6 separate regions of the Mus musculus genome follow, and regions 1, 2, 3, 5 and 6 are each reported to be linked to region 4. Evidence: microRNA targets listed by miRTarBase, many of them from high-throughput screens and not tested one by one. Region 4 holds a microRNA gene; each other region holds the end of a gene's coding sequence.
Evidence for each region. Region 4 holds the annotated microRNA mmu-miR-9-5p (UCUUUGGUUAUCUAGCUGUAUGA, at 2,735-2,757, opposite strand). A microRNA usually pairs through its seed, bases 2 to 8, with sites in the 3' UTR of a target mRNA and lowers its output. Matches are read on the target gene's strand: a 7mer-m8 pairs with bases 2 to 8, a 7mer-A1 pairs with bases 2 to 7 and ends in A, and an 8mer does both.

Region 1 (5,096 bases), not on the chromosome of region 4:
CACTCCCGTTGTAGTAATTGCTGTTTCTCCTTCTGTCTTCCTTAGAAGGGCAAAAAGTGCATCCGGACACCTAAAATCGCCAAGCCTGTCAAGTTTGAGCTTTCTGGCTGCACCAGTGTGAAGACATACAGGGCTAAGTTCTGCGGGGTGTGCACAGACGGCCGCTGCTGCACACCGCACAGAACCACCACTCTGCCAGTGGAGTTCAAATGCCCCGATGGCGAGATCATGAAAAAGAATATGATGTTCATCAAGACCTGTGCCTGCCATTACAACTGTCCTGGGGACAATGACATCTTTGAGTCCCTGTACTACAGGAAGATGTACGGAGACATGGCGTAAAGCCAGGAAGTAAGGGACACGAACTCATTAGACTATAACTTGAACTGAGTTGCATCTCATTTTCTTCTGTAAAAACAATTACAGTAGCACATTAATTTAAATCTGTGTTTTTAACTACCGTGGGAGGAACTATCCCACCAAAGTGAGAACGTTATGTCATGGCCATACAAGTAGTCTGTCAACCTCAGACACTGGTTTCGAGACAGTTTACACTTGACAGTTGTTCATTAGCGCACAGTGCCAGAATGCACACTGAGGTGAGTCTCCTGGAACAGTGGAGATGCCAGGAGAAAGAAAGACAGGTACTAGCTGAGGTTATTTTAAAAGCAGCAGTGTGCCTACTTTTTGGAGTGTAACCGGGGAGGGAAATTATAGCATGCTTGCAGACAGACCTGCTCTAGCGAGAGCTGAGCATGTGTCCTCCACTAGATGAGGCTGAGTCCAGCTGTTCTTTAAGAACAGCAGTTTCAGCTCTGACCATTCTGATTCCAGTGACACTTGTCAGGAGTCAGAGCCTTGTCTGTTAGACTGGACAGCTTGTGGCAAGTAAGTTTGCCTGTAACAAGCCAGATTTTTATTGATATTGTAAATATTGTGGATATATATATATATATATATATATATATTTGTACAGTTATCTAAGTTAATTTAAAGTCATTTGTTTTTGTTTTAAGTGCTTTTGGGATTTTAAACTGATAGCCTCAAACTCCAAACACCATAGGTAGGACACGAAGCTTATCTGTGATTCAAAACAAAGGAGATACTGCAGTGGGAATTGTGACCTGAGTGACTCTCTGTCAGAACAAATGCTGTGCAGGTGATAAAGCTATGTATTGGAAGTCAGATTTCTAGTAGGAAATGTGGTCAAATCCCTGTTGGTGAACAAATGGCCTTTATTAAGAAATGGCTGGCTCAGGGTAAGGTCCGATTCCTACCAGGAAGTGCTTGCTGCTTCTTTGATTATGACTGGTTTGGGGTGGGGGGCAGTTTATTTGTTGAGAGTGTGACCAAAAGTTACATGTTTGCACCTTTCTAGTTGAAAATAAAGTATATATATATTTTTTATATGAAAGGCTTGGCTGTTCATTCTTGTAAACTTTTCTTGGTTTTCCCGGGTGTAAGCAAGAAGTTCATATTTATCTTAAGGTAATTCACTAGGAAGTTTACAAATACCTTTGATATGCATGAATCGCACGAAATCAATAGGATTGTGCGTAGCATCCCTTACAATGAATCAAGCAGACATGTGCATCAGCTGTCTAACATGGTTCAAGGAACGCTTTAAGTTCAGCTCTGTGTAGCTGACTCCAGCTTCCACCAACCCCCAGCATACTTCACTCAGCCACTTCTGCTTGGTACATCTGGACATTAAAGCTAATTTATAATCTTTCACATCACAGATTAATCTGTGCCTTACATGGAGAATATGTTTAAATATTAGCTTGTGTTTCACTGTAGCTCTGGTTCTGAACTCGAAAGCCTCACTGTTAAACGGGAAGCATAGACTAACATATACATTAAAATTAAGTCAGATTATAAGCTTTATTGTACAAATTTTATTTTTCTATTGCTATGACAACTCATGGCAAATATAAAGATAGCACAAGTCAATTTTCTATCGATTAATGTTAATTGAAAATGGTTTTTATTTGAAGGTGATTCCACACTATTGTCCCACATTACCAAAATGGTTTATAGGTGACAACATTAAATTCTTTAAGAACCCTGATATAGAAAAGATATAAGATATACCTGGCTGTTACTAGCCAGTGAAACAAACAGAATCACAAACACTCCAGACACATTTTTCTTTTCCTAGATGAGAACAGCTGTGGTTTCCAGAGAAAAACATACCACAGACAGACTAACCTGCCCTGGGATGGTTAGCAATCTTGTAGTCACTCAGAGAGACAAAAATACACCTGAAAGCAGAGACATGCTACAAACAGTGCCCACACCACAAACCAAATGAAAAACTTCCCATGAGAAAAGTATTTCTAGTCACAACACTGGGCTTTAGGGTACACCCTCACAGGTACATGGCAACACTGGTAGCAGCAGCTGCTACCTCAAATAAACCATACCCCAAATAAACACACCCAGGGTACACAAACAGTACATTGCTAGCTCCCTTTTCTTCTCTGTCAACCGATGTCCGGCCACAATCATAAAGAGCCATGGAGAAAGCATAACTCCTGAAAGGAATCAAAGAATTGTGGGGGGAAACAAAGTTGTAGGGAGGAAGAAGGGATTTGAGATGTTTCCAAATTCTGCACACAGAAACAGTAAGTAAATTGCATAACCAAACTCCCATGAGCAGTATGTAACAAAATTAGAAGACAAGACACCCTTGACCCCGAGATAGTAATGAAGACAAATTGCCAACCACCCGAAGGCCTGAGTTGTGTCAGCGGTTGGTCGTGGGAAAAAGGAAAAGAGGGGAGCATGTGATGTTTTGAGAACAAGAGAGATCTCAGGGAAGCAGCAAGTGCTGGCTAGAACTACAGCTGATTTGAGAACAGTTGTAGACATGGGTAGGGGGTTATACCCCTCCGGTACAACTTACATTTGGGGCTGCTTACTGAGACAAGATACAAACACGTAAGAACTGAGTCAAAATTGAGCCAGTCAGGGCAAGAGACATTGAGAGAGAAGACTGAGGTACAAATAGGAAGTTGAGCCTGTGACATGGGCCTGTGACCCCAGCAACTTGGGAGACTTGGGCACTTCCTTGTCTTGCTGCTGTAGCAAAATGCTTGACAAAGCAACGGAAGGAAGGAAGGAAGGAAGGAAGGAAGGAAGGAAGGAAGGAAGGAAGGAAGGAAGGAGGAAGGAAGGAAGGAAGGAAGGAAGGAAGGAAGGAAGGAAGGAAGGACAGAAGGAAGGAAGGAAGGAAGGACAGAAGGAAGGAAGGAAGGAAGGAAGGAAGGAAGGAAGGAAGGAAGGAAGGACGGACGGACGGAAGGAAGGAAGGAAGGAAGGAAGGAAGGAAGGATGGAAGGAAGGAAGGAAGGAAGGACGGAAGGATGGATGGAAGGAAGGACAGAAGGAAGGAAGGAAGGAAGGAAGGAAGGAAGGAAGGACGGACGGACGGAAGGAAGGAAGGAAGGAAGGATGGAAGGAAGGAAGGAAGGAAGGAAGGAAGGAAGGATGGAAGGAAGGAAGGAAGGAAGGAAGGACGGAAGGATGGACGGAAGGAAGGAAGGAAGGAAGGAAGGAAGGAAGGAAGGATGGAAGGAAGGAAGGAAGGAAGGAAGGAAGGAAGGATGGAAGGAAGGAAGGAAGGAAGGACGGAAGGATGGATGGAAGGAAGGAAGGAAGGACAGAAGGAAGGAAGGAAGGAAGGAAGGAAGGAAGGAAGGAAGGACGGAAGGAAGGAAGGAAGGAAGGAAGGAAGGATGGAAGGAAGGAAGGAAGGAAGGAAGGAAGGATGGAAGGAAGGAAGGAAGGAAGGACGGAAGGATGGATGGAAGGAAGGACAGAAGGAAGGAAGGAAGGAAGGAAGGAAGGAAGGAAGGAAGGAAGGAAGGATGGAAGGAAGGACGGACGGAAGGAAGGAAGGAAGGAAGGAAGGAAGGAAGGATGGAAGGAGGACAGAAGGAAGGAAGGAAGGAAGGAAGGAAGGAAGGAAGGAAGGAAGGAAGGAAAGAAGAAAAGGAGGAAAACAGAAAGGGTTTATTGTGACTTACAGTTGAAGGTCACAGTCTAGGGAGTGGGGGCAGAGTGCAGTAGTGAAGCTGATAGGAGATTCAGTGAGAGATGAATGCTAGAGCGGTCAGCTAGCACATTTGTGTTTATTCATTCTAGGACCAGACCATATCCCATGCAACAGTCCTGCCCACACCTGAGGTGGATCGTCCCATCTCATTTAACCCCATCTAGAAAACCTCTCTCAAACACACCCAGAGGCCTGTTGTTCCACTCTTCTTTCTTTGGTTCTAACAAAACACTGACCGAAAACAAGTTGGCTGGACAAAGTTTATTTCTGCTTACAGTATATGGCCCTATCATCGAAGGAAGTGGAGGCAGGGGATCAAGACAGGTGCCTGGAGGCAGGAACTTGAGCAGAGACCATGTGGAATGGGGTTGACTTTACTTGTGTCCCTGGGCTTGTTCATCTCTCTTTCCTACACAGCCCAGACCTACTGCCCAGAGGTGGTACCACCCACAGAGTCTGGGCCCTCTTAGATCAACTAGTTATCAAGCAATCCCCCCAACAATATGCTCACAGGCCAATGCAATGGAGGACACTCTTCAGGTGACGTTCCCCCTTCCCTGGTATGCCAAGTTGACAATTGAAACTATGGCAGTTGTCTTGATGAATCTAGATTCTGTTGTTAGGCCTCAAACCCAAGACAAATGACTGATGTGCTATTTAATATAACAAAGTGGACTTGGCTGCCTGCCAGCTTTGCCCAGAATCCCTCAGTCCTTACCTGTTACGGGGTCCTTCTGGCTAGCATACCCTACCTTCTGGTTTTGGCACCTGATGAATGGAAAAAAGAAAGGATATGACTGCTCCTAGGTATGGTAGAGAAGAAGGTTTATTGTAGATAAAAGGGGAGGGCATCTGGGAGAGCCCAGAGTGAGCCTGACCCTGAGCCATTCGAGGAGAGGGGAAAATAAGAGGGAAGACGGGAGAGGTGGGGGAGGGGGAATCAGGTACAGCAGCCAAGAGGACAAAAGGTGAAAAAGGCAGATAACCAAAATGTAATAAAAATATTATAATATAATCCAAAATATAATTCAAGGCT
Region 2 (5,096 bases), not on the chromosome of region 4:
AGGCACCTGAGGGCCCACTAAAGGGCATCCTGGGCTACTCTGAGGACCAGGTTGTCACCTGCAACTTCATAGCAACTCCCACTCTTCCACCTTTGATGCTGGGGTTGGCATTGCTCTCGATGACAACTTTGTAAAGCTTGTTTCCTGGTATGACAATGAATACAGCTACAGCAACAGGGTGGTGGACGTCATGGCCTACATGGCCTCCAAGGAGTAAGAAACCCTGGACCACCCACCCCAGCAAGGACACTGAGAGCAAGAGAGAGGCCCTTGGTTGCTGAGGAGTTCCTGTCTCAACTTGGCTCCAACACTGAACATCTCCCTCACAATTTCCATCCCAGACCCCCATAATAACAGGAGGGACTCAGGGAGCCTTCTCTACTCTCTTGAGTACCATCAATAAAAGTTTGCTGCACCTCCTTCACAAAAGTCTAGAGCAACTATTCCCACCTATAATCCCAGGGCTGGAGTGGAGGAACAGAGATGGGATTACTGGACTTTGCTGGTTGCCACCCTAGTTCTGGGTTCAATGAGAGACTTTGTCTCAAGGGAATGATAGAGCAGGACACCTGATGTCCTCCTCTAGCTTTTGTGCATGTCTTCATGCACATACAACACACACACACACACACACACACACACACACACACACCTGAAAGTTGAGTAATTCCTGAAGTAGCTTTGTTGGTAGAGGACGTCACTAGAGATCAAAGTGATGATCACAAACCTTAATTTCTTTTATTCTCATGTAATATTTTAATTAAATCTTTTGTTAGTTATTGTGCTTAAGGTGTAAAAATTAACTCCAGGGCTGGTGAGATAGCTCCGTGGGTAAGACCACCGACTGCTCTTCCAAAGGTCCCAAGTTCAAATCCCAGCAACCACATGGTGGCTCACAACCACCCATAATGAGATCTGACGCCCTCTTCTGGTGCGTTTGAAGACAGCTACAGTGAACTTATAATAATAAATAAATCTTTGGGCCAGAGCGAGTTGGGTTGACCAGAGCGAGCAGAGGTACTAAATTCAATTCCCAACAACCATATGAAGGCTCACAACCATCTATACAACTACAGTGTGTACTCATATACATAAAATAAATCTTTAAAAAAATTAACTCCAACCAAAAAAAAAATGAGCCAAGTAAATGATAAGAAATTTTACAGTCTGAGTTAATAATTCCGTAACAAAATATTTCACAAATAAACAATCCCTCTATATATGGAAGGGAGAAGACATGTTCCTAGGAGCTCAGTTGTGTCTGTTTATTACATTGTGAGGTAAATGTAGATTTTTTTAAAATATGAAACCCGAATTCTACTAAATATGAACTCATATGCCCCTATTTTTATGTTTATAACTTACCATACAAATATTATCTACTATCACTGATAAAAGAAGCAGCCTATGTAGTGACTATCAGGTTAGAGCATAATATAAATTCTGGTGCTTAAGCTAAAGTATATCAAATAGTAGTAGCAGGAAGTAATAAAATCCACAAGTGGCATGGAATCCCTCTCCTTTATATATACCAGGAAACGCCAAAATATACATCAAGATAATGATGTGCATATGAATGTGTGTGGTAGTATTATCCATAATGGCCAAAGTGGTGAAATACCCTAAGAATTCAGTCACTAATGAAAGTATAAACAAATGTCAGGTATTTGTATGGTGGAATATTACCCAACAATGGATAGGCATGAATTACTGAAATTATATTCTATGAGTGAACCTTGAAAATATTATGGTAAAGGGAATCTGATCACAAAACCTTTATTGAACAATTCTGTTTGTATGATATATCTAAAATAGACAAGCCTAGAGAGACAAAAGGCAGACTGGTAAATGCATGTGTGGGCTGGAAATGGGAACAGGAATTGACTATCAGTTGGTATGAGGGGATGCTTTTGGATAATGGAATAAGGACCTGAGTTCAAACCCCAGCACCTATGTTAACAAGCTGAGCATACATTCCCCAAACACTTGGAGCTCTACCTCTGGGAGGTCTAAAAGCCTTTTCTGGCCACTATGTACACCACCCTTCACTACATGTATGTATATACTCAGACATGTACACAAATAGTTTATTTTTTTCTAAGTTAAAAATATCTCTCTCGCCAGGCAGTGGTGGTGCATGCCTTTAATCCCAGCACTTGGGAGGCAGAGGCAGGCGGATTTCTGAGTTCAAGGCCAGCCCGGTCTACAGAGTGAGTTCCAGGACAGCCAGGGCTATACAGAGAAACCCCGTCGTGAAAAACCAAAAAAAAAAAAAAAAAAAAAACCTCTCTCCCCGAAACAGCATGCACGAGGCCTACATGGGTCTGCACTGTGTCCTCTGTACATATATTATAGCTTCCAATTTAGTACTGTAATGAGACTCCTGAATGTGTGAACGAGTGGGTTTCTGATAACTGTGCTTGTTCTTGGGGCTTTTATTTTTCTGTCAGATTGGCTTGTCCAAGTTCAGTATGATTTTGCTTTATATTTAATTTTGTTAAGATCTAAGTTCTTAGATGCAAAAAAAATACCTCTCTAAAAATAAGCCCCATGAACGTAAACTCCTTGAAAATACAGGGAATACTCACATTGCATGCATGTTGTCACATGCAATATGTTTACACTGATTTTGATCATCATGGTCCTGAGGTGATCCAAGTATCTGTATATTCTTAAAATGTTTAACACAAGAGAAGATAGGCTCTGATTCATAAACATTATCCCACCAATCATACAGTCACAAGAGAAAACTGGAAGAAAGCTTTAAAAGATTGAATCAATCCTCCTGTCATGAATGGCATGGATATAGGTTGCCGTCCAGACCTTTTATTTAACTCTTAGTTTTTTTTATTCACTTTACAGCCCCACTCCCTCCTCTCTTCCCCATACTTGGACTGCCTGGTTAGGCATAAAGAACTTTTAAGCATGCATTTTATTACTGATCGGCTTTATTATCTAGTTCACAGTCTGTTCAGTGAGATCAGAATGGCAGCTCTTCCCTTTCTGTGTAAGGTCATATGCAAGGATCACACTGGAGGTTCAGTCTATATTGATCACTATACCAACGACCATTTACACACAACTATTCTGCCCTCTCAACAGTCGATGTATTAGATACAAAAGTTAGCTAGCACATGAGAGCTAAATCGAACACCAGATACAATCTTTCATTGGAATATTTTATTTACATTTTATATTTAAAGAGAATCAGTACAAATCAGAGCATATTTACAGCATTTTCAAATCAGTGTACAAGAGTGCAATGGTTTCATCCATTATATAGTCAGCAAACAAAAATACACGTCTGTTCTATTTTTGTCTAAATCCTGTGGGAATTTGCACTGGGAACAAAACACAAGCCACACAAAGTAGAAATAAAGTGCGTCTTTTCAATAGCTCTATTTAACTTTGGTGGTTGAAGCTTCAAACTTTTTATTAAGGCACCTGGAATCCCCCCTTCCCTTGATTCTTTTTCAAACACCAACAAATGCAATCACAAAATTATAGATAGATGGACAGAATTTAAATTTCATGTAATTAGAGACCACAAGGCCAAATGTAAACTCAGTTTTCAAAGTCACCATTGTTTGGAAACTATTTTCCACATTTGACACATTTTACAGAATATTCTCTGCAGATGAATTCTGCACCGTAACCAGTTACCAATGTTCTACGATTTAGTTCAGCTATTACTATTTTCAAATTTGATGGTAGTTTCTATCCTGTGCTTTTGAAAACATCAAGCTTGAGAAATAGTTTAGAATGTTTTTGTAAGAAACTTTTTATGTCTATAATCTTGTGTGGTGTCACTAATATACTGATCAACCAATTCAGTTCATATTTTTCTGACAAACTATGCTCAACACTCACATGAAATACATACACAGCTTAATTTTAAAATGAAAAGGTTAAAATGAATATTTTGCTTTAATCTTGTACTATCAACTTAATGCCTAAGTTCGCATTGCTTTTTTTTTCTTTTTTTTTTTAAACAAATTCCAGATCAATATAAGCACCTGGAGACAAACCCCGACACACAGAGCCCAAGCTAAAGTAGTAGTATTGTTTAATTATGATACTATCATAAAACAAAGTGATTACAGCTACTCCACACTTTTAAAGCAACATATTTTTTTATAACAAAGTTGTTGTAAATGAAAAACCTGACTACTCATAGACGGTTCTGAATGTTAAAAATGTTGCTATCACTATCACCAAGAGGAAACTTGCCTATGAAAAACGTTATGGTGAGTTTGTGGAAAACGGTACTGGGGTAAATATGTTAAGCCATTTAACTATAGTATAATATAAGTTACCTCAGCACTTTCAGTATCATTCTTGTTTTACGTTTACCCAGTTCATTCATAGTAAACTAGGCCCTGATTGGCAGTCCTGTTGTTAACTAACGGTTCAAGTTTTCTATTGACACAGATTTTTAAGATTTAATCTCCCGAACAGCTGCCTCTTGATCAGGAGTTTCATCTTCTTCAAAGGTTGGGTTGTCAACATGGGGAACAACATCCACGGCCACAGAATTTGCTTCATGGTTTACCAGCTGTAGATTTTCATCTGGACACAGAAGTGAAGATGTTAGAATGATAGTACCTTTCTTTCCTTTCAAGGCAAGAAGTCTGCACTCATTTCCAAGAAGGCTTCCTTATTCAATGCCATCATATTCTGATGATTACTATGTGACTTTTTTTTAATCCAAGTGTAGGATGACCTCCTGTATTCATAGCATTCAGCAGGTAAGACACAAGAATTCTTCTACCTTCCAGGCTAGCCTTAGTTACACAGTACACTTCAGGTTGGCCTAGGCTACAGCATGAGATCCTATCTTGAAAAAAAAAAAGGAAATCTTAATTTATATTGTTTCCCTTAAGGCACTTTTGGCATTATTGATTTATGATTCCTGTTTTTTTATTTATGTTTGTGTGGTTACTTTTACCTAAATTATAAACGTACTAAGGGCAAAAGTTACATCTTTTGCGTTTTTTTCTTTTCTAAAAATATCAGGTCTTAAGCCTGGATGCACATTACTATCACTTGGGCTATTTGAACCTAACTGTATAGTAAATAGAATACATAACCATCCT
Region 3 (5,096 bases), not on the chromosome of region 4:
AGGGCCACGTGGTGACTAAGGATTATCCTACATACGCACTAGCTGTCATTGGGCTTCTGGTAGCCTCCTCCACCATGTGCATCCCTCTGGTAGCCCTGGGGACTTTTGTCACACGCCACTTCAAGATCAGAGAACAGTTTTCTGCAGCCTGAGAACTGGAGGTCCCACAGACTTCCTGTCAGTCACTGTTTCACAGCCACTCCCTATATATCCAGCAGTGGGAGGTCTACAGCTGCTTTTTAAAGCCACAAGTATTTTCTGCTTCCTGAATCTGCAAGGAAAATTAAATTCTCTGTATTAAATTGTAGGCTGACAGAAACCTAACTCTGACCATAAATGCTGAGGCTTTTACCCTTTTGTTTTTGTTTTCAAGACAGGGTTTCTCTGTGTAGCCCTGGCTGTCCTGGAACTCACTCTGTAGATCAGACTGACGTTGAACTCAGATCTACGTGCATCCCAAGTGCTGGGAATAAAGGTGTGCACCACCACTTCCCAACAGCTTTTATTCCTCCTCTTCCATGACGTATACTTTTGTTGTTAAAATTTATACCATTTGTATTATATAGCTCATAATAGATATAATTTTTGATCATTTTGATCTTTAGCTCTCATTCTTTACACACCACTACTACAGTCATGATATGCTAGACCACAAATTTACCTCTAACATTGCTTTTTTTGGTTGAGGTAGAGTCTTGGTATATATGGACCTCAGGTTGGTCTGGACCTATGCATTCCAGGTTAGGCTAGAATCTGTGATCTTCTAGCCATAGCCTCCCCATACTAGCACAACAGGTCATGTGCCACCAGGCCAGGTATATACGTTTTAGAACATTAATTATCCTTTTGTTTTTGTTTAAACCATTCCTTTGCAGAGGGGGTGGGTAAATGGGGAGGGAGCAGCCGATGCCAGCCTGGGTTCAAACACTCTCTTACTTCACCCATCCAGTATTTCTTGAAGCATATTGTATTCTTGACTGACAGGTTTCTTTCTTTTAGTAGTCTGAATGTACAGATAAATCCATTTTTTACAATCTAATGGATATTCCTTTATATGTGACTAGACTCTTGCTAATAGAGAAGGGGAAAATGAGCTGTAGACCAAACAATACAAAATAGAGATGTGGGGGAAAAACCTGGAGTGCTATATGCAACACAAAACTGTTAGGATTTTTTTTAACTAAATCTGATTTTACTATTAAGAACAACTGTGTGGGATGACGTAGTAATGCCCTGGTATACTACACATTTATTACGTAACTTCTTATAACTATGTTGTGAACCTCAAATACAATACATTTTATTAAAAATTAAGTGTGGAAGCCGGGTGTGGTGGTGCACGCCTTTAATCCCAGCACTCGGGAGGCAGAGGCAGGTGGATTTCTGAGTTCGAGACCAGCCTGGTCTACAAAGTGAGGTCCAGGACAGCCAGGGTTATACAGAGAAACCCTGTCTTGAAAAACAAAAAAAAAAAAAAAAAAAAAAAAAATTAAGTGTGAAGACCTTCCTCCCAGTGCCAGCCCTGAAGATCATGTGTAGCCTTTTTTCCATCAATGGATACCGGCTTTAAAGGTTGAAGATAGTGATTGATTCTCTAAGTCTTAAGACTGGGACTTTGCAATCTGGTTCTTGCTGACAAGATACCCACATGTTACAGAATGGTAGCTGTTAGATCAGTTTAAGTTTTTAGGTCTATGAGGTGATGTGAAGATGCCAGGAGCAAATTCAACCTTACAGTTACCTGTCATACCGGGATCTAGCTGGGACTCTTTGAGCACGCACACACATATTGATGTGTGTGCACAGTTCAACTCTAAATTGAGAATCAGAGTTTTGATTTTCAACTCACACTGCCCTAGACTTGTCCAAAATGAGTACTACAGGAAAATTGTGTCATTTCTGAGCAAAGGCTTCTTTCTGTCAGGAAAACTGAGAGTGTCCCAAGAGAAGTTAGCGTCACTGTTGTGAGAGCCAAAGTATAGCTAGGGAGCAGAAAAGCAGCCAACTCTGCAGGGTACACAGGAAGGAGGAGAAATCTTATAAATTAAAAACAAAAAACAGTCATTGAGATTTAAAGGTCACTTGACATCACATACCAGGCTGACCTCTCAGTCTATTACCCAAAATTGATCATGGATAGAATGAGACCTGAAGTGACAACTGTCAAAACTTGTCCTTGGAAGCGAGCACAGAAGAAAATACATACTATTTTCCCATTCATTGGTTACAATCTGTAGCAATTACTCACCCATACTTCCTTATCACCCTGCAACCTGTATCTCTTTGAAACAAATTATAATTTGAAAGTACAGATAATTTTATGGATATTAAACATCACTAAATGTTATATATTACTAAATGTTGCCTTAGCCTTATCTATAAAAAAACAAAGCTATAAAAAGTGTCTAAGGTGATTACTGGAAAACAGTTTAGAAGTTATTTACCTTGTTTACTTGTAGTGACTAGTATTTCTATAATGATCAAACACTGCTTTAAGATTAAAAAAAAAACACGATAAAAACAGAGAAACAGTACCAACAGCGGTTAGAAAAGAATATGGCATTTTATTTTTGCATATGGATGTACAGTAAATGAGTTAAAGAAGATCACTGCAGGGCTGTCAAACACTGATCACTTGCAGCCTAACCCTCTGACATTAGTCCTTGCGAAGCAGCCACACTAGTGGTTCAGATTTGGTGTTTGCTGTAGCTGTTGACATGAAGTGCTTACTGTAAAACGCCCAGTAGCTTTTGAGTAATATATTACAGTAGACACAGCTGGGCTTCAATGTTCCATCTTTGGAACAAACTATGCTTATTTACATGTCAGAACAGGTGGCTCTATTTACTTACTCTATTGTGAGTTTTAATGACTGATTTTAAGCTACACAGAATTTCCCCAGAGTTCCTAAAAGCAATAACCCTTATTGTTTATAAAAGATAATGTTGAAAAAAGGTAATGTTAAAGGCGCTTTTAGAAATATTTATGGATAACATAAGGTACTATTAGAAAACCTACATATTTTAAAGCAAAACACTGATGTACCATAGCAGTGTTTAACTGAATTGTTTTAAGATAGTGCAATGATACTACCTTATATACTGTTCTAATATCTAAACCTCATAATTACAATTTTAATCTAGAACCTGTCTTACAACTATGCACAGCTTCTGAAGCGTAGTTTTCAGTCTGTTTTATGCATAAATTAAAGTTGGTCCTTGATTTGGAGAACTATGGCTACCTGGAAGCACTAAATTTCAGACACTTATTGACAGCCAACATAAACCTTGACAGGGTGATAGAGCCAGAGTGCCATGCATGGAAAAGCAACTGCTACCCCAAGTGAGAATCAAATCTAGTACAAGACCTTCTCTGAGGCCTGCATGTCTCAATGAGGAACCAATAATAAAAAATCCTACAAGCTAGGAGAGGAAGCAGCTGGCCAGTCTAGTGTATTTCCCACAATGGAGCAGTTCTTAAAAAGAGGCGACTTTGGACCTTTAGCATAAGAGACAGACTTTACATTCTTTGATTTCATTTATACCTTTTAAAAAAGATAAACTATATCTGAACTTTTCATGACATATAAGCTGCTCGGGCACTACAGCAGCTCAAGCTGGCTGAAGCCAAGAGGCAGCTACTAGAAACTTCAAATGACTCTAGATCCCATTCTCCTCTTCCTTACAATTGTGAAATTACAATTTAGCAAACTGCTTGACCTTTAAGAGACACTCTATAAGCATAGTAGAATTTGCATATTATTAAACTCTTAAGAAAAGCCCAAAGATACATGGAAAATATGCTTGCTAACAGTGACTGCTTTACAATGGCAATAATGAAACAGAGCTAGAAAAATAATTTGTTTTAAATAATGTGAAAGAAGTTAAATTTTTTAAAATATATTACTTATCTGTGAATTCTGACTTGACAGTGAATAGATTTCTTCTGTTCTGTGAGCTGAATTTAAGCTACATTTTAATTATACTATAGCTTCAAATCATAAATATAACCATCCCAACGGTAACGAGATCATCAAAGCGGTAATATCAGATCAATTCTAAGACATCACCCAGCCCAAAACCACAGGAGGTACTTTTGGATAAAGGCTTTAAGAAGACCTTGGGCTCACGTGGAAAGCAGGTCAGTAAAGACTCCAGTTCTGCATCATGGAGTCTTCCAAGCCAAGCCGCTTTCCACAAACACAAATTCAGTCTATCTTTTCTTTCTGGACCAGTCTGGGAGCATCAACAAAATCTTTGCCATTGTAAAGAATAATAAAAAATGTTCCAATGCTTGCAACTCCCCAGAAGAGGACATATGCCAGTGTTTCTGTCCAAGTGTCACCTGTTGATATTAAAAACAAAGATAATACATCATTTGTTGATACCAGACCTAGTGATCAGTTGTATAGCACAACTTCACACTGAAGTTTATTAGCATGTCCACAGGAAAAATAGAACATCTTAAGTTTTAAACCAGGTGTCTCAATTCTGCAGGCTCGGTAAACCATCATCTGTGGTACCTTAAGAAGTTGTTGCCTCTGTGACAGGGTCCCAGCAATACTGAGGCTACCGACAGATGCCACACTGTGGGAACTGCACTACTTCAGACTACCACACAAATCATAATTATCATTGCGATTAAATGCTTTAGTAGCACAAGAAATTACTACTAACAATTTAATCATAGTTCTACAATCAATGCAATATTATCAAAACACCTATACAAGACACACTTTACAGAATGTATATTTTTAAACTCAACTCAATCATAACATATTACAACAGCATTTAACACAACACTGCTGGTTGAGTTCATAAAGGTTAGCAGCACCCATGAAGCAAAGACCTATTTCGTTTTTCTCTTTGAACAGCTAAGCCTCTGCTCACTTTTCTCCTGCACCTGCCTCAAGTGTGGAAAAACACATGCAGAGTCAAATGGCCAATAAGATCGTTCAAGGAAAAGAAGCCAGACCACGTCAGAGGCTGTGATGCATCTACGTTCCCTCCTGAAAAACACAGCAAGGGCTGGAAATCAGCAACCCCTATCTGCAAGCATTAACTGACAGGACACTATCCATAGAATTCGGTATTATT
Region 4 (5,096 bases):
CTGGGTGGGATTTGAACATCTCTCTGTTAGGATAAAATGGATGGGCTGGCACCCCTGAAAACCTTTTGTGGTGGGTGTGAGATAAACTCTGTGAATCAGAATCAGCAGACCCATTCCATCACCACCACCACCACCTCCTCCCTTGAGGCCCTCATCTTTTCCCTAAAGTGCAAGGTTTGTATCAGCAGATTTCCCCCTTCATAGAAAGCAGTAAAAGTCCTGCACTGTCTCAGGCTAGGACTCTACCTCCATGGGACTCCTAATGGGGGGACTCCAGCCTGCCTGGACGGCAAAAGAACCAAAGGCGACACACATTTGAACTACACCTAAGACACAGTCGTGAAGCTATGTGACCACCTTGGTGTAGGAAGGACTGGCTCTTACAAAAATAGCAAAGGAGAGGGGCCAGGGAAGAGAAGGCTCTGAGTACCGGGGCAGGCTCTGGGGAAGCCCCAGCCCATCCGTGAGACGTGGAGGCAGGGAGTGCTGGGCAAGCAGGCTGAGAGAGCTGCTCTGCTTTCCTCAGAAATGAGGTCACCACCAGCACACAGGCTCCCAGGTGCACCAGGAAGGGGGAGCAAGCCCAGTAGATGCAGTTGGGGGGAGGGAGGCTCCTGGGTCCTCAAACACGCGAGTGACCCTTCACAGGCCTAAGAAACGGGAAGGAAAAGATGAAAGGACCTCGAACCCCTTCCTTCCACCCAATGAGTCCCTGAGAAGGAGGCACAGAGACAGCTGCTTTCCTGCCACCGCGTTTAATTTTGTCTAACATTCCAAGGCAATGCAGTGAAAAACTCTCCATCTACCGTATGGAAGCCACACCTTGCCCCTCCCCAGACCCAGGAGGTTCTCCTTTGTATCACTGAATTTATTTTTACTTTTACACAAGTCACCTTTTTGTTGTTAAGATAATTTTGCTAAGCAAAGGGTGTGGGGGGGGGGGAGGAACGGCTGGTAGGCACAAAGATGGAAAAAGATTTCTATTATCACAAGGGGGCTGGGCAGGTTCTGGATAGAGGCTGAGAGACCAATCTTATAAATAACTAAGGCAAGAGGCTCTTGGGATTGAACTGGGCCAAGATGGAGGTAAGGTGACCTAGGTAGTGCCCACCTCTGCACTTCTGCGCTGTGTGTGCTACTCCCTAAGGAGTAGGCCCTCACCCCCCAGATCTGCTTCCTTAATATGTTCAAGGAAAAGAAAGCGGGTCAAGTCAGGATGGTAGCACTAATCCTTCCCAGTCAATCTGCTAAAGCATGTATACACTGATATGTGCCTTAAAGAACCCCAAAAGACCCCAAGCCTTAAGGTATGTGAACTGACTTTGGATCCTTTCTTCCCTACACTTGATAGGGTCCATAGCTGGGTCTACATCCACCACGCGGGAGCCCTAATGGTTTCCTAAGTTGCAGGGGGCCCCAAACTTCAAGATAAGGAAAGAGTAAAGGGAGTGGCAGGAAGGAGAGGGACCTGAAGGCAGAGAAACCTCAAAGGGACCTTCCGCTCCTTGTGGGGCTAAGAACCACGGACACAGAACATTGGCACGCCCCACTCGCAGCGCCCAGCTAAGAGGGACCTGGAGCTTGAGTGGCCGGTGTGCAGCATTGGGTTGCCATGGGAACGGAATTCAGATTTTTTCCCCCAATTGCTTTTTTATTTGCTAGACATTGTAATACATCTTATGTTGCCATTTATTGGGGCGGGAAGGAGAGGAGCTCCAGAGAGCCTGGCTTCCCCCTTAACCAGTTGGGGAAGTTGGGGAGGCTCCGGCCCCAGCCGTCCGACCAGAACTATAGAGGTTTAGAGGATCTGGGCTACGTCTCTCCCGCCCAGCAGCCTGCTCTTGGTTTGTATGCAGGGCAGGGCCGGTCGGTCGGGGCGGGAGGCCCCCCGCCTAGGCCCCTTGCCATTGAGTACACTCCCCGCCAGTTCTGCTCCGCTTCACGCTGCACACAGACCCCCCAACTGCACACAAAGGCAGCTGCCAGAGCCGGTGAAAAGTGATCAAATTATCAAGAACTTGACCTCACCGAGGGGCGAAGCTCCAGCAACCCCCCAGCCGTATGCTAATGGTGCTCAGGGGCTGACTCGTCGAATAATTCGATAAAGGCTGCATTGTTAGCGGCAGGGCAGCCCCCTGCCCACCCTTTTACTCCCCCTACACACTGCCTACCGGTCTCTCTCTCTCTCTCCTCTCTCTCTCTCTCTCTCTCTCTCTCTCTCTCTCTCTCTCTCTCTCTCTCTCTCCCCCTTCCTCTCTCTCTCCCTTCCTCTCTCCCTTCCTCTCTCCGTTCTCTTTCTCATCGCATTTGCATCCCAAAATCCTAGTCTGCAGCTCAGGGCGTGGATTGTTCTAGCCTGATTTATGGGGTGAAGGCAAAGGCTGGCGCCTTCCCCGCCAGCGACCCCTCTGCAACCCCAGCCCGTTCCCTGCCCCCAACCCACTCCACTTCGGGGTTCCAGCCTCGGCGCTGGGAAATGGTGATGGGGGTGCAGGGACCGAGGAGGAGGTGAAGGGAATGCCTCCAGGACACGGCAAGTGTCCCCAGGAGAGCCGAGGTCGGATACCTGGTCCCGGCGTGGCCGCTCCGTCGAGCTGGAATCCCTGGGTGGCGTGGGCTTCTCTGGGCTCCTCTGGCTCCTGTGGCCAGGGCGGCCGGCCGGGCCATCGCACGCAGAAGTTGTGAGAGTCATTTCTACTTTCGGTTATCTAGCTTTATGACGGCTCTGTGGCACTCATACAGCTAGATAACCAAAGAGAGAAACGGGCCTCCCATTCGCCGGCACCGCTGCCGCGCTGTGGGCCCCACGTGCCGCCGCCGACCCGGCGCGGGGGCCTGAGCGGACTCCGCTCCCGCAGCCCCGGGCGCACGCGGAGAGCCAGAGGGGACCGACAGACACACAGACACACGGACTCCCGCCACCCGGATCGCCCAGCTCCCTTCCTCCCTCGCCCTCGCGATTTCTCCATCCCCAGTTCCCCGTCCAGTGCGTGCGCGGCCCGCTTCGACGCCGTCCCGGGGCGCACTCGGGTAACCGGCGCTCTGCGCTTGGGCAGCCTCGGGCGCCCTGGCGGCCCCCAGCGCACTGGACCATCAGCCCTCCTCTCGCAGGCTAATCGCCCCGCGGGGAAGTGACGTCAGTCGGGGGATCGGCCTATCACGGGCTTCCATTCAAATCCCAGCCCCCTTCCCGCGCTCGGCACCACCCAGCCTTACAATGGCCTCGGCGTTCACGGCTTCTGCGCCGCGAGGACAGGGGAGCGCCTCTTCTGCCCTCAGAAGCCTTAGGCCTGCTTGCTTGGATGCACACAGTCTGGCCTTTCTCTCAAACCTCTCTGACCTCCCAGCAACGTCTTAGGTGCCTGGCAGCCACCGCAGACCACCAGAGTTAGAGTTTGAGGGAAGAGGTTTAAGGTCGAGGTCTCTCCAAGGCAACCAAGTGAGCGCAGGAGAGGCTGCGAACCGGTCACTTTATCCTTAAGGTCTCTCTTCCTTTTTTTTCTTGCCCAGCACTGTACAGACACCGCGGTAGAGACTGGGGATTAAGGGAAGGAGTGGGTGTCTAGATCAATGTATCCCATATATATTGCCTGACTTGTAGGGATTCCCATGGCATGCTTCGCTCAAACCAGGTCCTAAATGTCGGCACCAGATTGTTAGCCCTTTCCCTCTGACCATTCCTAGTACAGCCAAGGATATGTAATCAATTGTGCCCCTGCGCCTTAAAGATATCCAAGGCCGTAATTGGGCTCCTATTCACCTCCCATAAAAATAATCAGCTCCTGCCATCTTTCTGCTCACAGCACACCCTAGCCCACTTACTCCAAGTGACTTTACAGGGCAAAAGAATTGACATTTTGAGGTTTCACAGTAGAATTGAGCCTGGCCACCAAACTGAAGTCCCGTCTCAGTCTCCTAAACGTGGTGGTTTAGAGGTTGCTCACCTGAAACCCATCCTGTCTTCCTTGCTCCTGTACACCCCTCCCACTATGAGCCCTGATTCACCCCCTTCACCCATTCCTGGGAGGCAAAGGATTAAATATGAAAAATTCGATATCTCCTTCCCCCCCCCCCAGTCATCCCTAGAAAGATCTTAAATCCAAGATCTAGAGATTGACTTAACAATAGAGTGGGGGTGGGGGGTAGCGGGTTCCAGGATTCCAGCAGTGACTATGAGGGAGTCCCAAAGACTCTCTGTGCTAAGGCATCCCCAAAGCAGCCCAGATTTGGTGGGGGTACTCATTCAGATCTGTTTTGGTGAGGCGGGGGGGGGGGCACCCCTTACACACTCTCCATCAGCAAATCCCATAAGGCTGGGTTCAAAGAATAGGCCCAAAGTGGGTGATTTGGAAGGGATCAGGGAATTTTTCTAAAGGTATCTAAAGCAGTCTCCCTTAAATGACACATCTGGATTTTTTTTGTTTAATACCAGGCTTTGGCACCACACCTCTGTACCCCGTGCTTGTTTTAGATTCGTCCTATTTTTTATCTTGACCCCAAATCCAAGGTGGGCTGCATCCCCACTGCCATCCCTGTCAGCCAGTGAGCAAGCCAGCTAGCAGTTACACACCTCTTTCCAAATGCCACCTCACAGACAAATCCTTGTCTCAGAAAAAGGACACAGGCTAGACTGAAAAGCATCAGAGAAACAGAGGGGCCGACCTACCGACAGCAAGGCCCAGGAAGGAACCTCGAATTTGGGCCTGCCTGGTTAATTCTAAAGGATTTTTCATAATTAGGAGGTGTCCCTTTCTTCTCCTCCTACAGCCTCTGGAATCTACACCCTCTTCCATTTAGCTGTGTGTCTGTCAGTGTGGGCGGCCTCCTGCGCTCTAGTCCTTCTGGGCCACCCTGAGCTTGGATGGGTGGAACTGAAGAGGCAGAGGGAACTGTGCAAGCACGATTCACCTGAAAGAGGGGGAGGGAGAAGAAAGAGGGGGAGTGGGGAGCAGGAGAGAGGGGAAAGAGAGAAGGAGCGTTCTCAGAGTGTGATTTAAGCAGGACGCTGCACAAAATGGCTCCTCGGCTGTGAGGTTCATGGTTATAGCACGCTGGAGCCCTGGCCTGAGAGCCTAGGGCTGGTTAGGAGTCTGGGA
Region 5 (5,096 bases), not on the chromosome of region 4:
ATCTATGCATTGACCAGGAACGGTAGCTCACACATAGAATCCTGGCAAGGCTGAGGGAAGGGCCAGCCTTGTCTAAAGGAAATTGTCCTTCTAAATTATATGTGGGTGTGTGCAAGTACCCAGGAAAGCCAGAAATGTCTGATAACCCCGAAACTATAGTTACACCTAACATGGGTGCTGGGAACTGAACTTGGGTCCTTTGCAAGAGCAGCAGGTGTCCTTAACCCCTGAGCCCCATTACTCTTCTCCAGCCCCTTAGGTGATAATTTATCAAATGGGGGTTGGAGGTAGTAGCATGTGATTATAAACCCAGCATTGAGAAAGAGAGGATGAGGCAGGAGGATTGCAGATTTGAGGCCAACTTGAACTATACAATAAGATGATGTTCACTAAACAGAGTCAGGAATAGTGGGGGAAATTTTCCACTTGAAGGGTGCTGCATTTTCCTGATGTGTTCTGTCCATTGTGTTTAGAGAAGCTGCCCGAGAGTGCCGCCGGAAGAAGAAGGAGTACGTGAAGTGCCTGGAGAACCGTGTTGCTGTTCTGGAAAATCAAAATAAAACTCTAATAGAGGAGCTAAAGACTTTGAAGGACCTTTATTCTCATAAAAGTGTTTGATTCTTTAAAGAGAAAGTATTTTTTGTGGACTTTAAAGCTTAAAAATTAGGTGGATTTCTTTTTAGTGGAGTTCTATAAATTCAAAGGTCAAAGAAGCTACTTTGTATTAGGTTTTCACAAACAGACATGATGGAGGGAGAATGGAGATGACCTGCAGGAAGCTACTGTCTCAATTGGAAGCTCCGAAAAGATAGAGTGCTCAAGGAATGGACTTTCAGCAGTTTAAATAGAAATAATGGTCAGCAACGAAAATGGCAGGCGACGTTAGTGAAGCAGTCCGTTCCTGCTACGTCTGTATTTCTCTGTTCCCTAAAACTTGCCTTTGTGTGTGTGCGCGCGTGTGTGTGTGTGTGTGTGTGTGTGTGTGTGTGTGTGTGTGTGTGTGTGTGTGTGTGTGCGTGCGTGCCTCATTTCTGCCAATAAATTTACAAATGTAAAAGCATAAAGCGTTACTAAGTATGTAAATTATGTGGTCTGATTGTGTCGTAATGTCAGGTATGTTAAATGAGTTTTTAGCAGTTAGTTTGGTTGGACTCGATTGGTTTGGAGATCTCCTAAATGGCGTGGAGACACATCAGCCTGTGGTGGAGGTGGTTTGTGACTTTGCTTTGTCAGAATGGAAAGAGAACTGTCTGCAAGTTTGACAGTTTAATAGTTTGTTTTTTGCTTCCTCTGATAAGGGCAAGTACATAATAGATTGGTTTTGTTTTTTTTGTTTTTTGATTCTCTAATCCTGTGTGCAGTTGAAGATCATTCTCTTGCGCTTTAACAGAATGAAGTGTTTACAAAGGCCCTCAAATGTTTTAAATAACCTGAATATGCACACCAAAGCTTTCCTGAGGGGTTTTATAATCATCTTACCGTAAGGTTTGTCAGGTTCTAAAACAGTTACTGAGGCAATCTTACATTGAGACTATTGTGTAATGTAGCCCATGGTACCTTTATAAAAGAAGTGACTGCCGATATATTTTTATAGTGAATCTTTATAAATTCTAATGTTGAGTTTTTAATGATTATTTTAAATGTTTATATAGTTTGTTTAGCAAAAAAAATTTTGTATCTCAAAGTATCATTTTTATATTATGAGAAGAGTAAAATTTTCAAATTGGCTGATAATTGAATTGTATGTTTTATATAAAGTTTTATCTAAAGTTTCAGCTGTGGTCAGTACACCAGCATTTAACCTCTGTATTCTAATCTGTGTTCACTTGGAAACTGCAGAACTGTTGTGTACCTACAGAGTATGTTTCATATTGTCTGTGAAATTAAAAAACATTTGATAAGATTAAGTTTTCGGAATGCAAAACATGTTTGATATAACAACTGCCAAGCCCACCAGCAGCCACTGTGTGAGATACTCACTGAGGAATTTTTAGCCTTAAAGTGCAGCCAGATTCTAAGCCTGGGGTCTGAGTGTGCTTTTCAGTAGGGTGCACTTGTGCTCTGATTCAGGAAGAACCAGTTAGAGTGAACAGGGAAGTTGCTGTTCTGTGGAGCCCTGGGACCTCACACCAGTGGTCAGTCACCTCGTCAGTCTGCAGTGGACCCCAAGGAGGGTTCATCAGTTGGAGCACAAAGGCTATTCCTTACTTTCATTTAATTGGTTGCCCATCAGCCTACGTGATCAGGGTGTTCCACATTCCCCTGTCCTTTGTAAGCCAGTGTAGCCACATGTAAGGCTTCTCAGGTCAGTTCCATTTTGTTCTTTCTGTGTTGAACCTCACACTTGGCCAGACCAGCACTCTACAGTGAAGCAGCTTCCCAGGCCAGTAAATGATTTTGTGATGATTTTTAAGCAAAGAGGAAGAATAGGTAGGCATTCCTTGCTCACGGAATGGTAGATAGATGCATTCTGACTTAGAATTGTCAGTGAGTTGCGGTGATGGTGGTTCACATTCCCAGGAAGTGCCACAAAGAAGCGGGGTATGGTGACGCACGCCTTTATTTAATCCCAGCACTTGGGAGGCAGAGGCAGGTGAATTTCTGAGTTCGAGGCCAGCCTGGTCTACAGAGTGAGTTCCAGGATAGCCAGGGCTACACAGAGAAACCCTGTCTTGAAAAACAAACAAACAAACAAAAAAAAAAGTGCCACAAAGTTAGCACCAGAGAGTAATGCCTGAGGGCTAAGGAGGCAGTCAGGACGCAGAGCAGATCTAAACAAGTAATACGCTATAAAGTAAGACTTGGTCTCACTCTAACGCACATGCAAGGCACTCTGTCCACCAGGCTAAAGAGTCCAGGGCATAAAAGCTGGGATTGAAGCAGTGGTTAACCCACTGTAGCGTGTGGTGCACACCTGGGATCTCAGTTGAGACCAAGAGCCTGAAACAGGAGGACCAAGAATTTAAGACCAGGCTGGGTGTGGCGACACACACTTTTTAATTGTATGTGCATTGGTGTTTCGCCTGTGCATCTGTCTGTCTGAGGATGTCAGAATCCTCTGGGACCAGAGTTACAGACAAGTTGTGAGCTGCCGTGTGGGTGCTGGAAGTTGATCTGGGTCCTCTGGAAGAGCAGCCAGTGCTCGTAACAGCTGAGCCATCTCTCTAGCAAGATGACTTACACCTTTAATGTCAGCACCCAGGAGGAAGAGCAAGGTAGATCTCTGAGTTCAAGGCCAGGCTGGTCTACAAAGCACATTCTAGGATAGCCAGGGCTACATAGAGAAGAAACCCTATCTGAAAAAGAGTTTGAGCCTGTTACTTGAGGCCACACATCTCAAATGAGTTTAACCATTCAGTAAACCATTAACCCCATGAATTGCATCTCCAGAGCTGAAGGAAAAGGCTGACTCCCAAAAGTTGTCCTCTGACCACAGCCATCTGGCATGCACCTGCATTCACACACATCCACAGACAGTATTAAATTTATTTTAAAAAACAGAGCAATCCTACCTTCACCCTGGTACATACCTTTAGTAAACTCCAGTGAGGCACTTCTTTTATAGCTCCATCAAGAAAATTCTTCATGGGGCTGGAGAGATGGCTCAGTGGTTAAGAACACTGACTGCTCTTCCAGAGGTCCTGAGTTCAGTTCCCAGCAGCCACATGGTGGCTCACAGCCATCTGTAGTGAGATCCAATGCCCTCTTACTTCTGTAAGTATAGCTACAGTGTACTCACATATAATAAAATCTTTTTTAAAAATTAAAAGGATTCCTCATGTTTGATAAAGGTGTGAATACAAATTCATGTAGATACAGAAAAACATGATACTCTCCCTGAAGCTACACAGTAAATAACAAAAGTGATGTTAAATTCTAGGTTGGGTCAAACCCAAAATGGGTGTTCTTGGTCATTCCAAATGTGTCTTCTCACCAATGGTTTGGAGCTAGAAAGGCTTTTGAGAAAAAAAAAAAAAGCAGAAAGGTTCTGGTCCTTGTCTGAAAATAGTTTAAAAACCTAGTAGGTAAGATTTTTAAAGGTTCTATTTAAGTGTGTCCACTAGGTGGCAACTCTCCTTTAAAATCACACTCTACAAACCTAAACACTAGTATGTAGAAGATAATACAGACCATGGGGTGGCTCAGCCGGTAAAGGCACTTGTGCCAGGCCTGACATCGCAAGTATGGTCACACAGTGGAAGGATGAAATGAACTCCCAGAAGTTCTCTGACTCTTACATGTGCATCGTGTCATGCATGTATGCACAAGAACATATGAAAATGTCATAAAGCAGGAAAAGTGTGTACTACCCAGGACAGGTGACACGAAGAGGAGAATGCATACAGGAGGCCCCACAGACCCTTTCTTAGGATTTCTTCCCCACAGGGAGGCAGCTACTTGAGTTTAGTGTGCCTATGCAATGTGTGTATGTTCACTACATATATTCATAGAGATGGTGTAATTCCAGTCCTGGGGCTAAGGCATGAGTCCCAGGCCAGCCTGGGCTCAACAGCAAGTTCATGTTTGAAAAACACACTTGTAGTCTCCCCTTCCCCAGCCTGAAACCTGCTTGAAAGACAAAAATCTTAGAGAGTGAAGAGTAACATCACAAAGCTGCTTTTGGGGAAGCTCAGGTACTTTATTCAGTTGCAAATTGTAAAGCTAAGGCTAGTCTCTGGCCTCCTGTCGGGGAACTGGCTCAGAGAGTAGCAGGAAAACAGCTTTCCTGGGAGCTTTAGTTTCCAGCTGAATAGTAAGCAAAAGAGGAATTTTAGTCCTCAAGGTGATACTTATAAGAAGAGTCAGAATCTGTGTTCATCTGACGAATTAATCTCTCTGGCAGCCACCGCGCTCTATCTTTATCTCGTGAAAAAACACAAACCGAGCCCCTTCCCCAGATTAGAACCGGATCTGGACCCTTCTATTCGCTAGTCAGTGGGTCCTTTCATTTTACCAATGCATAACAATTAGAAGTAACTAGATGCCAGTGGCGATCCACTGCAGACTGACCTTTAATATTGGTTGCAAAATATTTAGAACAAATAAGGTAAAGGCAAGATGAGCCTTTGGTGACCTTGGGGGATGTGCTCTGAATT
Region 6 (5,096 bases), not on the chromosome of region 4:
TCCATCACAGTCATATGGCAGCCAGACGAAAAGACTATAACCCTCAACCCGGGTGACCAGCCTCTGCCAGCCAGCCGCACTTACAGTCTGTGGTATTTCTCTAACCTGGTATTTACAGAACTCACCTTGCTCTTTGCACAGCTGCAGCATTATCTTGGCCCCAGCTCTGCTGTGCTTCAATGGTTACAGTTCCCTCCCCAGCTTGCAGAACTCCGCCATGCTCACAGCACCTATCCTCGAGGCCAAGCTCTTTGGGATCTGGCTTCCAAGGGGTAGGCGAATCAATGTCAGTCATTTAGATGGGTACTCAAAGGGACACAGAGCCCAACAAGATGTCATCTGGAACCTTCCAAGATGCAACGATGGGGTGGGATGAGGGTCAGTCAAGTCTTGATTGAGACTGGGGATCGCATCCAGTAGAGTCCCAAAGGTCCTTGATGACATGGCTTGCCAGAAGGTGGCCTTCATACAAGGGACATCCCGAAGAAGACGGAGAGACAGTGAGGGGAGGGGAGATAGAGCAAAGCCCCATAGAAGGCCTTGGAGACTGATTAGCACAGACCCAGACCTTGACCTTGACCATTAGTTCAACTTGGGTTGAAGACTCACCTATTCCAGAGAACCAGAAATACTGTGTTATCTCAAAATTATGCAGTTTCTCAGGCTACTCCTGGGGATTGCTACCAGCCCAAGTGTGCAGGGGACTGAGGGGAGGGCTGTGAGGGACCTAACTGAGAACATATGTTAGGATTGAATCTAAGGGCTGTGTCTTGCTTCTATTATTTCACTAACAGTGCGGTCTCCAAGGGGGTGTGGGGAATTGAGTGATTACCCAAATGAATTTGTACATTACACAAAGAACGTAGGTGCTCCCAGCTCTGCACAGCAAAACTAAATCTCTCATCTCACCTCTATCCCCAGGACCACATGGCTATCCCCAGAACATGGCTCCCCCTGGACCATGTGGCTCCCTCTAGACCATATGGCTTCCTCATCCCAGAACCACATGGCTTCTCCTACTCCCACGACCACATGACTCCCTCCCAGGGCCACATGACTCCCCATTCCAGGACCACGTAGTTCCCCCCAAGGACCACATGGTTCCCCTCAGGACCACGTGGCTCCCCCATCCCAGAACCACATGGCTTCTCCCACCACCACCAGATGGCTCCCCCCAGGACCACATGGCTCCCCTTGAGGACCAAATGGCTCCCCCCCCCAGGACCTGTAGCTCTCCCATCCCAGGACCACGTGGCTTGGCCCCAGGACCACATGGCTGCTCTATCCCTACCCTAGCAGCCAACACTGGTGCTCTGCTCTCTTTTCTCCTAAGGAGATGCAGACCATCAACGGGCCTTCCCACAGCTGCTGCAGAATGACTGACATCTGGACTCCTCTCCATCCTGCAATGAGGTCGCCTGAAGCTTTGGTAATCACACCCTACGGAGTTCACAGACTGTTGCCAAAATGCACAGCGCAGGGGACTGGCGAGTGCACTGAATCATAGCGAAGGGATTACAAAGTGCAAACCGAGTCCTGAAACTGCTATGACATGAAACAGCCCATTTAAAAACCTGACTCTGGCTTAGGCTTGAGTCAGGCCTTGGCTTGCTGCTCTCAGAAGGTGGACCGCCATAGCACCTAGGCCCAGGTGGGTAGCCTTTGTGACATGAAGACAAGAGATGTCTAGAAAAATTGATGTGAGATCATAGACAATAAAGTGTGTATGAAGGAGAGCTGGGAAGGCCACTCCAGAAATGAGGACTCCAGGGTGTAAGGCCAGAGCATCCGCTGGGGGAGTCCTCAGAATGAGGAGTGGTAAGCTCAGAAGCTGTACCTCAGGGCTTTACTGTGCATGCGTGTGTTTGTGCGTGTGTGCGTGTGTATGTGTGTATACACATGTGTGTGCGTGTGTGTACACGCGCATATGCATGTGTGGGTGAGCGTGTGCATGTGTGCGCGTGCGTGCATATGTAGTGGATGCACACATGTGCACACGTGTGTATTCACGTGTATATGTATTTCTGTATGTGGGTGCACACATGCCTATGGGTCTGACCTAAGGGGTCAGAGAATAAATAACTTTTTTGAGACAAGGTTTCCCACTGTCCTGGAACCTCACAGAGCACGCTAGGCTAACTGGCCAGTGAGTTCCAGGGATCTGTGAATCTGCCGTTCGCTGAGATGGGATTACAAGGGTGGGCCACTGTACCTGACTTTTACAAAGCGTCTAGAGATCAGTCTCAGGTCCTCATGCTTGCAAGCAAGAGCTGCAGTCACTGAGCCATCTCCTGGGCTCCCCTGATGCTTTTTAACAAGAAACTGCAGTTCTCTGCGACTGATGTACCGATCATGATGACAAAATTTGGCTTAACAATGGCTTGTTTATCACTCATCAAGAATCGCATGATCATGACAATAAGCCGGGTGACCAGTGCAGAATAGAACTCCTTAGTGACAGCCTCAGCTGTGGAGGTCTCTTTACCTGCTCAGAGCAATCATGGAGGCCCTTAGGAGAAACCTGTGTTCTTTCCATATTGGGTGAAAATGAGAGAGCAAGGAGCTCGTGGGAGTCAGGAGGCCCATGCTGCTTGTGTGCTTGGGTAACAGTACATCTGTATGACGGCCATCTGTTCACATTCTTGGACAAACTAAGACTGTAACACAAACCCCTAAGAGTCGGCGAAGTTTCTGCTAGACAACTGTTCATCAGCAAAGAAGCACAAACGGAGACTACCACCGTTCTGGTTCGCCGTGAGAGGCCAAGCTCATTTTATTAACATACATTCTGCATTCTAAGAACTAGTAACTTCATATTGTAAACATTAAGCATTACAGAGTTAAAATTCAAGGCCACATCATATGTTTTGATTGTCTCTTGTGTGTGTGTGTGTGTGTGTGTGTGTGTTTGTTTGTGTGTGGTGTGTCTTTGGCTGGCCGAGGTCAACTCGTAGTGTATAAATGCATAAGTTATATAATTATTATATAAAAAGAAAAAACCCATTGACTTGTAGACTTCGTTCTGACGAACGCACAGCGTTCGCGACTCATTAAGGAAAACTGGAGCCCACCTACCCACAATGCCTGTGTGGTCTCTGACCATGGTGGCTACCAAGGTCACCTCTCGACTGCTCCCGGGAAGGACAAAAGCCTCCACCGAGTGCTGAGGTTCTGAATTTTTGTTAAAAAATATCAGACAATTCCAGTTATGATTTCCTTTTCACAAAGAGACATATTTTTGGTTCTGAATACTACTGCTCCCAGTCCTCCACAAATCTGTGTCCTTACAACACTGACAGCATCAAACATCTCTCAACTCATGCCCTTTGGTCCCAAGGTGCCCTAAATTCAGCTGTGGTGGCTTGAGCAGCTGCCTTCTATCCTTTCCTTTCCTCCTCTTCTCCCTCTTCCTCCTCCTCTCCCTCTCCCTCCTCCTTCTCTCCCCTTCCTCTCTCTCCTCTTCTTCCTCCTCCTCTCCCTCCTCCTTCTCTCCCCTTCCTCTCTCTCCTCTTCTTCCTCCTCCTCTCCCTCCTCCTTCTCTCCCCCTCCACCTCTCCCCCTTCTCCTCTCCCTCCTCCTCCTCTCCCCCTCCACCTTTCCCCCTTCTCCTTTCCCTCCTCCTTCACTCCCTCCCCCAGCCCTTCCTCTACTTCCTCCATTTCAGCTTCTCTCCTACAATCTCATACTCCCAACAACATGCACAGCCCCCACCCACCACATGGCTCACATTTCCCATAATACTGAAAAGGAGATGAGACCCTGGGTCATCTTCACAGTTTGACAGAGCTGGCAGCTCTCTATCAAATGGAACGAATCTGATTTCAAAGAAAACAAGCAAATGCCAGCCAAGAAAGTCCACAGCCATTGTGGTCTGTGGAGGGGCCCGCCATCTCTGTTTTTGTCTGCTTCTTCTTTGGTTTTGACATGGTTTCTATTTTTAAACACAGGTAGTTTCCCTTCAAATGACATCATACATGGTGTGTTAGGCCAAGTCTGTTCCTGTTCTATTGCTTTCACTCAATCCTGGTAGGTCAAGCAAGGTCCCACACTCTACAGTTTGTACACTACTTAAGGCCACTTCCTTGGGCAGTTGTTCTTTTTGGTCAAGCTTTTCTACATACAATGTCTTTGACAAGGGTGGACCACAGGTTATATGTCCATGTACAGTATATTTTGAGCTTCTTCTATTTCTGTAGTAATACTTGGGTGGCACCCACCCTCCCCTGCGAGTCTTTGGTTTTTTTTTCCCCCCCCAGCTTCCTTCCCCAGCTCTGGCCAACCGTTTCCACTCCTCACGAGGCACTTTTGATTTGTGTTCGCTGAGTTTGTGGCGACTGCTAGGCGATTGTACACTGTTGGGAAAGGCCTCCATCTGGTCTCTAGTAGTAGGTGCCCAGGTGAGAGGGCATATGGCTGGCTGGGAGCCTAGTGTTCGGGTAGATGCCCCCAGTCGGTGAATTCCAGTATGGGTTCGGGGAAGCAAAGAAACTGGAAGATGTGACTGGGAGAGCGGGAGGGTGGGGAGACACAAAGTTCATCTTCTGGGGGTGGGCGTGATAGGAGCCCATGTATGGCAGGTCGGAGGGGTACTTGTACAGGGACGACTCAGGAGGGTGGGGCTGCAGGGCCTGGGCAATCCCGTGGAAGTCAAACTTGTAGGCGTAGCGCTTCCCGTGCACCTTGGTCATGATGTTTTTGTCGTAGTAGTAGCGGAGGGCGCGGCTGAGCTTGTCATAGTTCATGTTGGGCTTGCTCTTCCTCTCCCCCCAGCGCCGAGCCACCTCGTCCGGGTCTGTCATCTTGAACTCCCCGTTGGTGCCTTCCCAGGTGATGCAGTTGGAGTTGGAGCTGTCTGACAGGAGTTCGAGCAGGAACTGCCACAGCTGGATCTGGCCACTACCTAATGATCAGGAGGGACACAAAGCCAATCAGAACCAAGGACAGAAGGTTCAGTCCTCAATGATAGACCTCCTGACCAGGTCTGGTCTTCAACCCCAGCCCCATCTCTCTGCTCCTGGGCTGTTGTGACTTTTGACTCTTGGCTCCTCGTTTATCTAGAGAGCAATCCTTGGCTGAACAGGAAGAGCTCCACCCCC

Region 1: the mRNA of Ccn2 is a reported target of mmu-miR-9-5p. Seed matches in the 3' UTR shown: 7mer-m8 at 479-485.
Region 2: the mRNA of Rnf128 is a reported target of mmu-miR-9-5p. Seed matches in the 3' UTR shown: 7mer-m8 at 3,407-3,413.
Region 3: miRTarBase lists Sacm1l as a target of mmu-miR-9-5p. Seed matches in the 3' UTR shown: 7mer-A1 at 2,796-2,802.
Region 5: miRTarBase lists Atf1 as a target of mmu-miR-9-5p. Seed matches in the 3' UTR shown: 7mer-m8 at 1,443-1,449.
Region 6: miRTarBase lists Erg as a target of mmu-miR-9-5p. Seed matches in the 3' UTR shown: 8mer at 4,231-4,238, 8mer at 3,911-3,918, 7mer-m8 at 3,325-3,331 and 7mer-A1 at 2,927-2,933.

Annotation. Positions count from the first base shown.
Region 1 is chr10:24,597,270-24,602,365 of GRCm38, forward strand. It overlaps Ccn2 (cellular communication network factor 2), which reads left to right. Exons shown (of 5, transcript NM_010217.2): 5 at 46-1,414. The coding sequence ends at 342. Among named protein-coding and RNA genes, the nearest start is that of Gm15270, 4.0 kb to the left of the region's middle.
Region 2 is chrX:139,671,208-139,676,303 of GRCm38, reverse strand. It overlaps Rnf128 (ring finger protein 128), which reads right to left. Exons shown (of 7, transcript NM_023270.5): 7 at 3,159-4,569. The coding sequence ends at 4,436. It also overlaps the pseudogene Gm6322. Among named protein-coding and RNA genes, the nearest start is that of Tbc1d8b, 11 kb to the left of the region's middle.
Region 3 is chr9:123,590,049-123,595,144 of GRCm38, reverse strand. It overlaps Sacm1l (SAC1 suppressor of actin mutations 1-like (yeast)), which reads right to left. Exons shown (of 20, transcript NM_030692.5): 20 at 2,545-4,344. The coding sequence ends at 4,208. Slc6a20b (solute carrier family 6 (neurotransmitter transporter), member 20B) reads left to right here. Exons shown (of 11, transcript NM_011731.4): 11 at 3-1,322. The coding sequence ends at 152. Among named protein-coding and RNA genes, the nearest start is that of Slc6a20b, 40 kb to the left of the region's middle.
Region 4 is chr7:79,502,940-79,508,035 of GRCm38, reverse strand. It overlaps Mir9-3 (microRNA 9-3), which reads right to left and starts at 2,772; the gene lies at 2,683-2,772. All of the region lies in intron 1 of Mir9-3hg (Mir9-3 host gene), which reads right to left. Gm51285 (predicted gene, 51285) reads left to right here and starts at 2,700; the gene lies at 2,700-2,757.
Region 5 is chr15:100,259,342-100,264,437 of GRCm38, forward strand. Atf1 (activating transcription factor 1) reads left to right here. Exons shown (of 7, transcript NM_007497.3): 7 at 474-1,907. The coding sequence ends at 618. Among named protein-coding and RNA genes, the nearest start is that of Tmprss12, 19 kb to the right of the region's middle.
Region 6 is chr16:95,356,427-95,361,522 of GRCm38, forward strand. It overlaps Erg (ETS transcription factor), which reads right to left. Exons shown (of 11, transcript NM_133659.3): 11 at 2,743-4,900. The coding sequence ends at 4,380. Among named protein-coding and RNA genes, the nearest start is that of Gm31641, 99 kb to the left of the region's middle.